2 linked regions of the Bombyx mori genome follow. The protein of the gene in region 2 interacts with the protein of the main gene of each other region in a pairwise test. Links are inferred from orthologs where the notes say so. Each region holds a gene or a part of one and is shown on either strand. Other genes may lie near its edges.

Region 1 (8,083 bases), on a different chromosome or scaffold from region 2:
GTTTTCAGGTGTGTCAACTTTAAATTAGTCTACTGTAAAGTTCACGCATTGTCGCTTAGTCACATTTGCCTTTCAAACGTCTGCCTTTCAAATGCTACTATTTTTTTTTTTTTTCAGTGAAACATTTTTCTAATATTCAGTGAAACATTATCAATCAATTAAAATAAAAACATTAAATTGTACAAATATTATGTTTTTATTTAGATATAAATATTACAAAACTCAATTCCATCATACTTTGAATACTGCAACATTTATGCTTTGTATTAACTCAGAGACACATAAAGAAGTAATGAGTGAAAGTTATTCTTTTCACAGTGGTACAATAGTAAAATCAATACTGTACAGATGACTGTTCACACCAATTACATTTATTTACTCTTTTTGCATGATGCCATCATAGCATTTTGTAAGTTTTATTGCACTTTTGCAATGGATCATATGCTGTACTGTTATTTCATACACAAATAAATAAAAAAAATAGTAACATAGTAATAACACTTATTTATGCACATCTTGTGTACTGAGTAACCTTTAAGTTTAAAAAATGATAAAGAATAGTGTAACAAATTAAATATAAGAATCTATGTTTAGAATTTATATACTTAAAGTTAATTTGAACAGGTGTTGATATTGAATAGAAATAAATTTGCATAATGCATGTGTGTAATCTGTTTTAGGCAAGTAGACACCAATAACAAAACAGATCAAAAATGAATTACTTATAATGGATATTTATGAAATTAAAACAATTACACAATCACTGTTTTGGGAAACATTAAAGGATTTATAAAATGACTAAATAGCATTTATCATATGAGGCAAATTGTTGTGCTGCTGCATACTTTTTTAATTATTTACCTAGATAGGTCATAGAACTCAGAGCTCACACTGGAGTTAAATAGTTCGAAGAGCCCATAGACATTAACAAGCTGAACCATTAGTATTAGTCAATGATCTATGAATAGCTGATTGATTATTTTCTTATAGCACAAAATGACAATGTCATACACATAGGAATGTGTACACATGTTTAGTAAAGTTTAATATAATTAAAGTTGTTTTTTTTTTGGTACCTATTTGCTGATAGCCTTAGGGGCTATTCCAGCTTTTCACAGATGGCTATGCGAGCTCAAGGGCTCAACCTGAGAGAATTTGCTAACACTAGCTCTAGCAAGAGAAGTGCTTCGGAGAATCTACCACCAGATCGCAACCCACTGAGAAGATCCGGAGAGAAACTCAGTGGGCAGAGAGTTATGTAATTCTCTATTTTAATGTATATGTGTGGAAATTAATTTTAAACTTTTTGCTTTGAATGTTTGTTATAACCTCTCTTCATTTTACTTGACATTGAGGGGTGAAAGACTATTTGGTTTAAGCGAAGTTTTTGCAACTTTACTGGAGAGCCGTTTAAAATTTGGAAAAAATATCATTACAAAAAAAACTTCTTCAGCTATTTCAATGGAGTAAGCTTTATTGATGTTTAATTAATAACATCAAACTGTTGATGATAATACTGAATAAAACGCACCATTACGTACAAAGATAAATGTCGCATATTAATTGAAATGTCACTTAAACCAAACAGCCTTTCATCCCTCAATATAATCTACAGGTACCAAAACCCTACCAATTTCTACCCAGCAGCCACACATTCTTGTATAAAGACTGGAACACATTATATGAATGAGAGTTCGACCTCATGTCTCAAGATGAGTAGTGGTATTTACATTGTATGTCTATGGATTCTATTATCCACTTGACACCACTCACTTGAGACTTGGGCTCCAATCAGGCTCATCGTCATTTTCTGGGTACGGCTGAGTGTGAAAAAGATTAAACTGTAGCATCATACTCCGATGCGGACAAAAATTAAAATTAAGTTTTCCAGACAAACAAGCTTGAGATACTTTTGTCAACAATATTTGTTACTATTGTTTTTAGTATTTTTTATGGGATAAATGATGAGCTTGCGGACAGGTCTCTTTTTATTGAGCGGCTACTAGAGCCCATCAGACGGTCCAGACATCACATACATTGTTTAGTACAAGTACAAAAAAAAAAAATATCGTTTAGGCCCTGACAACTTGAAAATATAATGTAAATATCACAAAACAATAATTCTAATATTTTAAAGTAAATTTTCTTATTAGCAGGAGATTTCTGTAGCCTTGTGTTTTTAAAAATTAAGATGACAAGGTTTTTCATTTAGAAATCTTACAAAACCTATGAACCATATTCCAGAAAACCTATAACCATATCATTCCAGGTGAAGATGAGCTTAGAATAGTTATTATTTTCCTTCAAAAAGGACCGCCATTACAAAAGAAAACGTATTATTTTCTTTTTTTATTTAATTTATTATTCAATTTGTTTGTGAAAAAGGTCTAAATTTTTGTAAAGTTCTCAATTTCATCTTTTTAAATTAGTTTTTGAATGATTATCTCTCTAGAGATATGTAGAAATAAATTATAGCCAAAAAGGAAGTTAGCTATATGAATTGATAATTGCAATCTCAACAAACTTTTGTATAATATTGCCAAAGCTTGCACATTGTACAGAAAAATCATTAGCAGCATTCTTTAAAAATATCACTATTCAAATATTCTATTTTATTCATTCTTATTTATTCTTACAAGTTCATCAATAAATAGGAATTTAATTTTTACAGTTTTAGAATCATTGATATTAAAAATTTTATTAATTGAACTGGATACAGTGTATGCAGTGGGTAATACAATTAACCATTTCTTGTCACTATAGTATTCATTATTAAACATAAAAAAAAAACATGAAAATGTTTGTTTGAAAGTGAATTTTATATTGGTTATATTGTGGTAGATGTATTTTCTTCTAAACAAAATTATTGAATGTATTGATGAAAATTTGCTACATTTGCATCAAAATTGCAAAGTTAATCAAATTCATAACTTTTTTCTTGTTTAAATCCTTGATTTTGTTTACAAGTTAATGATAAACTTAGTGAATCAAGCCACAGGTCTATGAATGCCCCAATAGAGTTCTTATCAAACATCTTTATTGATTTTGATTTATCCACGACGAAAAACATTGCAAACGAAATCTAAATATTTAGGTTCGACTGATTTTCTAAAACAAACATAACGTTTGACGTTCTCGAGGAGGAAAAAACCGTCTTGATATGAAACACGGAGGTTTTGCTTTGGTATCATACTCGTGCTTCACTTTTCGCTTGCAAAAGGATTAGGTACGAACGAATTAAAGCAGTTTTCACACCCAAATAACATAACTGCATATTTATAGGTTAAAATATAATATTCATAACAAAATAAACAAAATTCATACAATCTATTTGAGGATTACCGTTTTGTAACAGAAACTAAAACATACAATTACCATTATTCCTGAAATACTCACAACAAGTCATAGACGTGGGCCTGCGTTCACGTCCCGATGTTTACTATAACACACCTTACACAATCTCCGAAAAATAAATCACTAAAATAACATAATCGTGTTATTAAAACGTCACTGGAGTAAAAATCATTAGGAAATTCGAATGTCCTATTGATCTAAATACATAGAAATTTCTCTTGTAATATTTTTTCAATCTGTGTGGACGCCAAACTGCGGGAAAAACTACAGTGAAGTTAGCTATCGATAGTGCCGCATTTCAAGGTCATCTTAAATTTATGGTACGTGTACGTGTCTATGCTTAAATGCAAAGATATTTTTTAAAGATTGTATGATCTGGTATTAAGGCCTTTAAGGTAAGTCTTTTGTTTTCTTCGTCCATTTTATTTTATATAATTATATCATTGACATTGAATAAATTTTTTTTAAGAAAAACTAATAATTACTAATAGATGCTACTACTGGTTGCACATATTTGAATTAGACATTTGTATCATATTTTTTTATGTCTGCTGCAGAAGTTGTAGCCATTAAAATCGTAAATGTCATTGGTTCAGTGAGCTTATAATATCTCCGTCCTTTAGTAATATCTACAATCCTTTGTATACCTCTCAGATAAATATATTAGTTTGGTATACCTTAGCATGATGACTACATCATGTGACGTACACACGATTTTGAACAACGGATAGGACTGCTTAAAAAGAAACACACCTAGTACATAATTTAAGTACTTTTATTATTTGAACAGCGTAATATGGAACTAAAACTAAGCTTAAATTGAATTACCAGACAGCAGTGTAACAATTATTCGTACATTAGATTTTTCCAGGGATTTTGTTTAATTATCGTCATATTAGCTGTTTGAAATTTAAACTAGTAACATAATTATTTATACCGGAATATTAGTAATAGTGATGTAGTTTTCTTTTCTTCTTCAGATTGCCATTTTAATTTATTGGTAACGTGACACCACCGACGGCTGTCACCAGTCACTACACTACACTGTATAGTAAAAAGAAAGCAAGAAAAATAGGTATTAAATCAGAAGTCATACGTAATTTCACCTATTTTTCTAGTTAAGTATTAAAACAATGTGGTCTAGTTTGTTTTTTTGTTCAATTTTCTATACATTTGTGCGTTATTAATCCGACAAAATAAAAGTTAAGTAAGTTAATTGCATATTTAGCAACGCAGAGGTTTCTGGCAAGATACTATTTACGTATGACAGATGGCGTGCTAGTATTCCTAACAAATATTAAACAATTAATGTTCTAATCGCATTTAATTCAAAATTTTGCGAGTCACACCAAAATGTAGCCAGAATAAGCTTATCTACTATTCACATCAAAATTAATTATAATCATGTATTTAGTTACATATAAAACGAGATCTGGATTTTAAAAAAAAACGAATTATTGTAAAAGTAATCTTATTTTAAAGAGATTAGGATTATTAGTGATCCTTAAACATTAACTTACAAGAAATTGTCATGAACTTAACAACGTATTCCTAGGGATATTCCGATACTAGTAAATACGAGTAAGTACTCGATACTTTTGATTCGATACCAAGTATTTCTAGTATCGAATCAATCTTGCGATACATACTCGGTATCGAAACAAAAGTACTTGGTATCAAATCGAATCAGCATTACCATTAAAAAAGTTTAAAATTTCCGAACGCATTATAGAGAACGAGAGAGTAAAAGCCCACTCGCTCGGTTACCGGTATTCATCCATCGCGTAGCGGCGCGGCGACGCGACGGCGCGGTGTGGATGAGGCGTGCCTTTTTTCCAAAGCCGGTGCAATAATGTCTCAAACAAGCTTCGATCAACTATAGTAACCAAACAAGGAACAGATTGTCTCCAAAATACCTCGAACAGTTACTGATTTTGGGCAATCTTGATGCCAAAGAGTTTTTTGTTTAAAGTAAGTACTTAAAGTAGGTGCTAAAAGTATAGATATCAGTAAGTATCGATACTTTAGGAGTATTCATATAAGTAGTATCGAATAAAGATTTGAGTACTATCGAAATGAGTAGGTATCGATACTTTGATGGTATCGGAACATCCCTATGTATTCCCAAAAAATTACTACGAAACTGTATTCTATCACAGAACTGTAAAGATATAGTAAAATATTTAAAACAATAGTAATTATGTTAATCCGATATTTAATCCAATTCAAGTTTACGGAACGATCCGGCGGTTGAATGAATGTCTTGTGTCAAATCATTTTTTTCTAGTGCATACAAATCGATGCACATGTCATCCAAGGCCAGTAGCTCCTCTCTTTGCTTCAATAAATTACGTTTCAGTTCTTCAATCATATCTTTTAGTGGGACTGTACCGCCATATTCTTTTGGCAAAATGGCAGGGTCAACGTATTTTGTTAGGTCACTACTCGTACGATGGAACTGTAAACAAACAATTAGAATAGGTATATAAAAATCAGGTACTCCCTAATTATACGTAATTTGAAAAAATAGTACATTGTGCACCAAGGAAGAAAACTAGGACATTTCCTCCCGCGTGTAAAATTGCCAACACTACTTTTTTCTCCTACCAGGCCGAAAGTTCGTGGAGTACCGAGTCGGGGTCCAGGGGCGAAGCCCCGGTGGGGTCCAGGGCAGGGGGTAGGGGGGGCGGAGCCACCCCATACTCATAAAAAAACAATATAACTGCAAATTTTATTGCCTTTTGTTTATTTCACTTTTACACTAAACACAATATTGCAAATTACCCGAGCACAACAATGGCGGAGAATTTTAGGTGCGTGAGAGCAGACGTAGACACTAACGCGCATGTGCACTTGTCAGTACTCAGGGAGGAAAAGTTAAACTTTCTTCCCTGTACAGCGGGAGGAAAACCGAACTTTCGGCGTAGGTAGGAGAAAAAAAGTCATATTTTTTGTCTTGAAAGTAGTTCGCTTCAAAGTTTATTATGAAAAATAGACTGTCAGCGCTTGTTAAATAGATACGATAAACATAAAAAGTGCTTTACGCTAATCTATTTTCCCAAACTTATTCAACTCGTTCCCACGAACTTATTAAAGGCAGTAAATACAGATTGAGAAATTCAGTTTTGTCTAATATATACTTCCTTGTATTATTATTACAAACAAAAAAAAATTCTTAGGTCATTTTTTCTAAATTATCTAGTGTTATTACATGTTGGGACGTAAGCTGCGCAGGCCTATTTTTACATATGAAATGGCAATTTCTGCTGCAAGCCATTCATGGTGTGACAATTAAGAAAAAAATAGCTGCTATTTCAATGCAATTGAGACTTCCACTACTTATTTGAGTAGGTCAGCGGAAGTCAGGTTGTGATCTATGGTCTCATCTATGCGTAGAGAAGCCATCCGCTGTCTATCTATGCACACAAAAAGGCTCCCTTTTGACATAAACTACTAAAAGATTTTTAATTATAAGTTATAACTCTAAGAACTGTAAGAACTCACTAACATAGATAATACACTTATATTTGAGACTCACTAAGTTCAGACAGTTCGAAACTTAAACTACTCATTGGCTGTTTATATGATGTTTTATAAGCTATAAAATTGTCTTACCATAACACGGTCTTTCAGTTTATCACTCAACAACGAAACTGCAAATTCGAAAAATCTGACTCCATAATGCGGTATGTTCACAAAATGTGTCCTCTTGTGCCTCATCGGTGTTGAATTCTATAACAAATTAATTCCGATTATTAAACAGTTTTGGTAATATTTTTTACTGGTGGTAGGACCTCTTGTTAGTCCGCACGGGTAGGTAGGTACCACCGCCCTGCCTATTTCTGCCGTGAAACAGTAATGCATTTCGGTTTTAAGAGTGGGGCAGCCGTTGTAGCCTTAGAACTTATAGTTCAAGGTGCGTGCCGCATTTACGTTTTGGGGGTCTATGGGCTCTAGTAATCACTTAACACCAGGTGGGCTGTGAGCTTGTCCATCCATCTAGGCAAAAAAAAAAAAAGTTAAAAGTTAACTACAAAATTTTTGAAGAAAAAAAAAATTTGTTAGGCGTACAGTAATATTTGTATTCAATTAATCATGAATGTTTATACAGTAAAGAGGTCTAGTCAAAGATTAGCATAATAAATAAACCTTTATTTTTTATTTTTTAATGCGCTTATTCTTTTTTTTCTGTATAAGTCTTCATGTGCATGATTACATATATAACTATGCTGTAGTGACTATTCCTATAGCGATTTTTAACGATAATAGGTACTCAAGGATGATTGCATATCGGATTTTTTTTCTAATTTATTTTGAAATTATACTTGGGAATTTTTAAAAAGTGATAAAAAAAATATATGGCGTTTCTAAATTTTCGGTACAAAAACACATTATATTCAACATACCTGAATGCAATTAAGCATTATCCTGACATCGGTGAGAGACCAAAGACTAATGTGAGGCATTTGCATGCCGGCTTCGTCATTAACATGAGTGTAGCCGAGAAGTTGGGAGCGTGGCTCGTCGAGGAGGTGTTCCACAATCATTGAATGAACTCGGGCCATTACACAACTGTCGTATAAGTGAGGATCGAAGCGTCCTGAATGCAAAACAATAGTTATGGTTTAACTTAATGGTTCAAAGAAAACTGGTCATAGCGGTTATGACCCTGGTATCATCGGTATCTATGGACAACAGTGATGACTTTCCATTCGACGTCCACTCACAT
Region 2 (8,048 bases):
TATTCCTACACCGTGAAAGTCAATCGAGAACAATTGTTAAGTACGTATTTCATTACAAAAATTGGTACCCACCTGCGGGTTTCGAACACCGTTGCATCGCTATATACGAATGCACCGGACGTCCTATCCTTTAGGCCACGACGACTTCAATACCTTACCGACGCCTTAGGGCAAGGGCGCCATCTTATTTTAGTGTATTTTCAATGATTACTCGATGTAACTTTAATTCAGTACTACTTTCCTCCCTCTACACTTTCCCCAAACAAAATTATTTATTAGATTTTAGTGATTTTATTTTTGTCATCTAAAGGCTAAGACATATATTAAGATACCATTACATATTATTACATTTAGATTATTTTAACAATGACTTTTATTACGTAAGTTTAAAGAAATATATTATATTTCCATAAGTTTTCCAGAACAACAACTGCAAGGATAAAAATCTTTGAAATCAATACTTTTCTTCATGGGATCGATTAAAGAATTATTGTTCAAGTTTGTGAGGAGTTTCATTATTTGCTCGATTTCAATATTCTTGGAGTGTTTTTGTAAGCAAGAAGAGATGTCTTCATCTTCAGACAGTTTTACGAGGATAGCAGTCAATTCTTCCAGCTGTCTTTTAAGTTTACTACATTCCGTTTCAAACATATTTAACTGAATACTTCGCTCTTCGTCTCGTCTTTTTAATAAGCTGCGTTGTTGCTGATATAAAGCTACGTATTCACAAATAGTATCGGTTTCATTTTGCAATTGTAAAATTATATGCTCAAGCCGATGCTTTTCATCAGATAAATCGGCAACATCATTCATTATTTTTAAAAAACGTTCCTGTAGTTTCTTCATTGCATCGTCCTTTGCGATTAAAATATCAGGTTTTTTGCCATTATCAACCAATACTTCGTGTTTGCATACATCATTTTGATTCAAACATATCTCAGTATCATCAGTTCGTAGACAATCTATTTTACTATCTAACGGTTTTTCGCATTCCGAAATTTCGTTAGATATATCGTCGTTAGCAGACTCATTACTTTTTGCGGCGTTTCTTAAGTTTATTTCCATCTCCCTATAACTTGACTGTAGTCTTATCATTTCACTATCTTTGGCTTTTAATTTAATTAACATATCTTTTGCTTTCTCCTCTGCATCTGCTAATTTTATTGTAAGTTCGCGATTCAAAAATTTTTCAGCGCTCAATTTTTCTGTTAACTCTAACTTGTCTTTACTCTGTAAATATGCACAAAAAGTTTTAAATTTTACGTACTTGTTTACCCTCTATTCTATTCTATCAGCCCACAGACGTCCACCGCTGGACATAGGTCACCCCAAGTCTCTCCACAAAGATCGGTCCTGCGCTGCTTGCATCCTGCGGATCCCCGCGAACCACAATAGGTCGTTGTTCCATCTTCGGTCTACCCACTACAACATACAACACCTACAACTTTCCAGCCCCAACAGTCATCCGTTCTACGAGAAACGCGCCCTGCCCACTGCCACTTCAACGTCGCAATTCTTCTACCATGGTTTTCCTGCGAATTTCCTCATTACTGATTTGATTTCGTAAGGAAACTCCGAGCATAGCCCTCTCCATTGCTCTTCTTTACTCTCATCACAAATTAATTAATCACCGAAATTATAAATATATCCAAAACATATCATAATAAGTAAAATAAGTAATAAGAAAAGATTCACAAAACAACCTAAAAACTAAAATGAAAAAAAACTGCAATGTTTCAAAAAGTAATTAGTTCTCTGTACTAAATTAATTTGTTAAACTATAATGGTATATTAATCCATTTTCCAAGTGTCTCATTACTTTTCAACTACAAATATAATAAAATATACATCTAGTTTACAAACAATCTTACATCCAAATAGTGTCTGATATTTACAGACATCGGTAAACACTTACCCTTGAATGGGCAGACACAGCCACCCACCTTGGGATATTAGCTCAATGTAGCATTTTTACTGTCTAATGTTTGCACTAGTTTTCAAATTGAAACTCCAAGGTTGTTTCGTTTGTTAGGCAGAAATGTACAGTTAGTACATGCAATGTTAGTACTAAATGTTATGAACACCAATGCCAATTTTTTCTACAATTTTTTTTCCTACTGCTAGTAACCTCGGGATATTCTAGCTTCACGAAACATCACCAATTAAGCAAACAATAAAATGATATCTAATGTGATTTTAGAAATTGCTGATTATTATTTTACTTATTGATTTATAAATGAAGCTGCTATACCATTTTAACAAATGCATCCTCTAAATTCTGCATGTCCTGTTTCAGTATTTTGTTTTGCTCGGTGGCTTTTTGAGCAGCTATTTTGTCACTAGCTATGTCCGCATTCAATTTGGATAGACTTATTTCCTCAAGCTTCGCTTCAGAATCTTTGTTTTTTTCTAAATCTTTAATTTTTGCAATGTTTTCATTATTTAATGTTTCTAGTTGTTCATATTTATTACTCAATTCACAGAGTTTTTTCTGTAACACCAAGTGTCTAATTAATGTACTAATAATAAATTACTGGGTTGCCAAATTTTTTATCAAATCTTGAAAAAATGGGCAGAGTTAACTGAGTAGATATTTTCAAGACTTGTTGGTTTTGTCTGTATTTGTTCTATTTAAGTATTCATTGTACCTTAGTAGAAATGCTCCTCCACTCAAACATTTACTTTTTAGTGCTTTGTGTCAGTAACCCATAAACCATTTGTGTTGGAACAATTACATGAATTTCAGACAACCACTGCTCTTTTAGAGCGATTTTTAGCTAGTTCATCGGACTTTTAATTGGACTCGATACCAAGATGGTCAGACTAAATTGATGCTATTGCACTTTATTTGCTCAATGTGAGCTCTTGTGGCTATCAAACTTTACTGTTAATAGGAGTCATATGAGCCCGTATCGGTAGGTACAATCAACCAATCGACCTATTTTTGCCATGAAGTAATTTAGCGTTCCAATTTGAAGGATGGCACAGCCATTATTCTATACAATTCTGACTTAGATCTCATGTCTTAAGGGTGTCGGCATTCAAATTCTGATGTCTATAGGCGGTAATCACTAAACACCAGATGGCCCATGAGCACTTTGATCCACCTATGCAATAAATGTATAAAACCCTAAGTTTAGCCTTAAGGGCTGTTAGTGCTTTGAGCGCAGTTTGACTATCTCTGAAGCTGTAGATAGTCCAATTCTTGTGTTTTCTCACATTCTTAGCAGCATAATTTTGATTGCATGTCTCCACTCGGAAGACTGGTTTACTGAAATTTTAGGCATATATGACAGTATAGGTTCCTAAACAAATTTCAGAACTATTCATGTACTTAATTAGGGTATTTTCATGTGTAAAAAAACTTCCATCATGGCTGGAATGTACATTCTGAAGTTTCTGAATAAGCTAGATTTTGTTGTCTTATTATTAATGTAACTTACACTAGTTTCTTCATATTTGTTTTGTAATTCTTTAAAGTCATCACTGTTATTATTACGAGATGTTGATGTTTCAGTAACTTGGGTGCGGTATGAACTATAATTCTGCAATCTTATTTCCAAATCGCTTATCTGATCAACAAGACTAGTTTCTCTGTTAGATAAACGCTCAACCTCTCCAGCAAGACTTTCATTTTGTGAAACCATATTTTTTAAATGTTCATTTAATTCAATAACATAATGTTGATAATGTGTATGAATATTATCTTTTTCTTTTTGTAGAGTTTTTAACTGTTGTTCTAAACTAGAATTTTTTTGCTTTAAGCTCTCATTTGATTCAACATTAGTGTTTCTCCCATCAGAAGTAGAAGCATAAGCCCCATTCGTAAGCTGCTGCAGTTGTAGCTGAGTTGAATCAAGCTGATTTTGAAGGTTGAATAATTGACTATTGAGAGAACTATTTTCTGTTTCTTTAGCAGTAAGCATTGTTTTGGTAAATTCCAGTTGTTCTTGTAAATTATTAATTTCATCTGAGAGACTGGAATTACTCTTTTCTAATTCTTGTATTTTGTTATCTTTGATCAGCAACTCATTAGTCAACAACAAACTATTGTTTTGTAAAGTTTTGGTTTCATTTTGCAAATTATGGAATGATTGATTAGATTGATTAATTAATTTTACAGCATCAGTATATTTCTGTTCTAGCTCTGATAATTTTGATTGCAGCTCACTGACTTGCGTTTCAAGTTTTCTCTCATTACAAATGAGAATTTCTGTTGCACTGAGTGTATTTTCAAGCAGCTTATTATCGTAGTTCTCCTCTAAAATATTATTGTTTTCACTATTTTTTTGCTTTTGCTGAGGAGACGAGTCAAAATCATTGACTTCAGAAGCTAATTGAGGTGGCGAATGATTTTGATCATTCGTTTTCAGACATGTTTCTTTCTGAACATTTCCTAGTTTTTGTTCTTGATGTTCTCTCAACTGTAATTTAAAAATATAAATAAAACATTCAATAATCACTATTCATGTAATAAATTACTATTTAAGTTATGTATTTATTCTTATTATCGTATTGTTGTTCAACAAAACAACCATTAGTGCCTTTATCGTATTTTACAAAATATTACCTATGTCATATTTTAAGCTTTTGGGCCAGGGAATTAATACTAATTATTTTCTATGATATACCTAAATACCTTTTTGCGAGCAAGTTCTAATTTAGCAGCTCTGGCATCCATCGTTTTAATTGGAAAGGAGACGCCTCTAGAGTTAGAGGCTAGGTATCTCAAAACATAGTACACTAAATATTTTCTCAACGTATATACACAACTTAATGTAGGTAATGGCTATGAATAAATTCATAAAATTTATTTGCGCCCAACGAAAACCTCCACGTATTTTAAATCGGAATGCAGAGTATGGCAGTCATAGATTATACCCTTAATATCATAGATTATACACTTAATATATTCGAGAATTAATATATTTGAGAATTGCAGCGTAGGCAATACTCTCAATACTCTGAATCTATGACTAGGGAGGTACGGTACTATCTGATACTTTTAAAATTTTTATTTTACCCTAAATTTCCCAGAAACTATACATAAAATCTCTTTTGAAAATTCCTTCACTTAGGGCGAACAAGTATAAAAAAAACATTCCTTTGCATATTTTATTACCAAAAATCAAACTAACAGTCAAGTACATATTTAGAACAGTCAAAGGCCAATACAATATTGCGCATTTTCGCGGTACTGAATATCGCACTAGTAGACACCAAAAAAGCAGTTGTTAGCTAGAATTCCTGACTTAGTAACAAGTATTCCGTTAAGGGTTTCTTTAGTCAGCTTGTTTCTATTGTGAGTTGAACAATCTTTCGCATTCTGTATTTGAAGATAGAACCTTTGTAGAGATATCACCACATCGAGGTTTTCATAAAAAAAACAAAGTTTCACTCAAGCTTAATCCAGTAAAGTTCGTTAAGTAAGCGCTTAGCTGTTCTCTATAGTTATTGTTTTTTGTTAAGATTTGCCTGTTTTTAGGTATCATTAAAAAAACTCGGGGATAACAATCAATAATATGTTTATTGTATTGTGGATAATACTTGGGTAATAACTCTTCGGCCCGTTGTGTATGTTGTACATGAGGAGCGCTCACAATCAAGGTCTATGTTCTTGAAGGTCTTATCTATGACCGTAAGGGACAGCGTGACCAGATTTAGTAGATTTCTACTTTTTTGGTAGATTTTGAGGTACCGGCAACAGAATTTAGTATGTAAAAATTATTTGGTATATTTTAGTAGAATTCACGCTTTTCAGTTATTCTAGTACTTTTTTGGCATTTTGGATAAATTCGGGGTATTCCCTCTTTCATCGAATGGATTGTAACTATTTAATTTTCATTCTTTTCTTACCATTCGTGCCGTGAGCATAGTGTGATAGACTAGTGGGAATTCCTTCAATGAGAATTTTTATAATTGAGCTTAAAATGAAACATAAATATATACAAGGATATCGCGATGTCCCACTCATCACGATATCCTTGTAGTTGTAACAGAAAACATGCAAATTGTTGACAAAGAATATATTAAAATTAGATGTTTCCGTGTCTAATTTATTGTCAACTTCCAGTTCGACGTCTGAATCTTATATGGTGGATACATTTTGGAGTGAAGTCAGCGAAATCTGTGATGCGAATAGCAAGCCAAGGTATGGCAATTTGTCCCGATTTGTGAAGCAAATGACTATACTACCCTTGTCAAACGCCAAAGTAGAAAGAATAATTTCTAATATTAATAAGATTAAAAATCAAGATCGAAATTTATTTAATAATAAGAATGTTGCTGCAATAATGCATGGAAAAGAGGGGCTACGACAGTTGAAAGGAGGATGTCGCACATTTGATCCTGACAGAAGTATTATCAAGTTAATGGATTCAAAACAACTTTATGAAAATGTTAGCCAACATAAAGACGCAGAATTTTAAGTTTAAGTTTCATTTAATTTTTTTTTTTTATTATTATTTAGAATTTAATTTAAAAAAAAGAACTTTGATATTGTTGGAGTTTGAATATAAATGTAATGGCCAGCAACACTTGAAACATGATTACAGATTTCGAATACATATTACAATTATTTTAAATGTTTAAAAAGCAAATGATTGTATTCTCGTAATGCCGGTCACTCAGATGCGCGCAAATATTCGTACATTGTAGGGCCGACAAACATTCATTCGCAAACTTAGCGGCTGAGCAAATGGGTTCGGTACTCAATTTGCGAACCCGTTTGCGCTTCCTCCTACACTTGTTTACGAATGTCTCACGAATTTCTCCTCCTCCTTTTCGTCAATAAAACATTGAAGAGAAAAAGAGTTTTGAATTATTTCCCAGACATCATTAATAGCCATGATGTTTTTATGGGATTTCTTTTGATGAAGATACGCTACACGGTAGACGTCACGATCTATGAAAATAGCGAAACGTCCGTTGTCTTCGCAATCCTGGGCGCAACTGGTCACACGAATGCGTGGGAGACTACGCGAAGGATCGCGGTTCGCGCGCTTTGATGTCTGTTAAAAAACCGACACAGCTTGGAAAACCACGAATGCAGCGAAAACTTTGCATAATCATTTGCAAATGTCGTCCTACACTTGCGGGTTTGCGTATTCGTGTGAATGTGAGTGACCGGTGTAAGAAAAAGTCAGGACTTCTCATCTAGACACGGTCAAAGAAATATGTAAGAGTTTTATAAAAATATAAAGATAATAATTTTATAATGGTGTAACAGTGTTCAAACTATCTGCACTATAATTGAGTCGACTATTATCAAAGCCGGCAATCTGACTTTTGGATAATTATTGGTAAATCAGAAAAACGAATTATTGACTTTGTATTCCATTGGCAGTCACAAAACTCTTCGGAACGACATCTTAGATAAATAACAGGTTAACTATTAACCTTTATTTAATGCAGGTTTTGAACAGTATTCTTTGAAGGAGACGATTATATTCAAATCAATCTGTATTGACATATGAATAACATTTTTTTGTCCAAATGCACAGATTGCCACCTTTGATAATAGACGACTCAATTATAATGAAGCAGTCTGTTTTTAAATAGTCCCTCATCACCTACAGAACCCATCCCCTCAAATTTAACCGTCCAACAGATATCTTGAATTAATGGTGGATTCTTTGTTATTTTTATTATTTTATTGTTTAATCAAGGAAATATTCATTTTTGTACGTTGTAACACGACAGATTTTTAGTAGTTCTCGTTCTCTTTTGGTAGAATTCAGTAAATTTTAACCTCCACTAGCAGTAGATTTGTCAAATCAAATCTGGTCACGCTGGTAAGCTCAAATATATTAAGTGTATAATCTATGCTGGTAAGGGAGTACCATTCCCCCATTTCCCCCCTCTAATACACTATAATCGTCGTCCTCCTGATGTACGGTCGTTGACAAGAGAAGCTCGATATAAAAAAGTAATGAAATAAATCGAATTACTCATTAACCTTCTGCATAAAGAGTAAGCAATGGGAAGTACAACTACCTTATCAAATGAACATGCGGACGCTTTCAGTTCAATAAATGAAAGACCGGTGG

The links.
Region 1: the proteins of golgin subfamily A member 2 (region 2) and NADH dehydrogenase [ubiquinone] 1 beta subcomplex subunit 9 interact in a two-hybrid assay, tested with the Drosophila melanogaster proteins (2 studies listed by BioGRID). The link is inferred for Bombyx mori from reciprocal best matches to the Drosophila melanogaster genes GM130 and ND-B22.

Annotation. Positions count from the first base shown.
Region 1 is NC_085126.1:4,500,232-4,508,314, forward strand, and holds the start of NADH dehydrogenase [ubiquinone] 1 beta subcomplex subunit 9, read left to right. Parts: upstream 1-3,394; 5' UTR 3,395-3,674; exon of another isoform or gene 3,675-3,749; intron 3,750-4,111; exon of another isoform or gene 4,112-5,569; coding exon of another isoform or gene 5,570-5,812; intron 5,813-6,969; coding exon of another isoform or gene 6,970-7,086; intron 7,087-7,760; coding exon of another isoform or gene 7,761-7,954; intron 7,955-8,083. Other genes in the region: retinaldehyde-binding protein 1, read right to left, coding at 5,570-5,812, 6,970-7,086, 7,761-7,954.
Region 2 is NC_085110.1:8,616,718-8,624,765, reverse strand, and holds golgin subfamily A member 2, read right to left. Parts: upstream 4,896-8,048; 5' UTR 4,682-4,895; coding exon 4,640-4,681; intron 4,425-4,639; coding exon 3,444-4,424; intron 2,492-3,443; coding exon 2,252-2,491; intron 1,231-2,251; coding exon 400-1,230; 3' UTR 269-399; downstream 1-268. Other genes in the region: phosphatidylserine synthase, read left to right, coding at 7,979-8,048.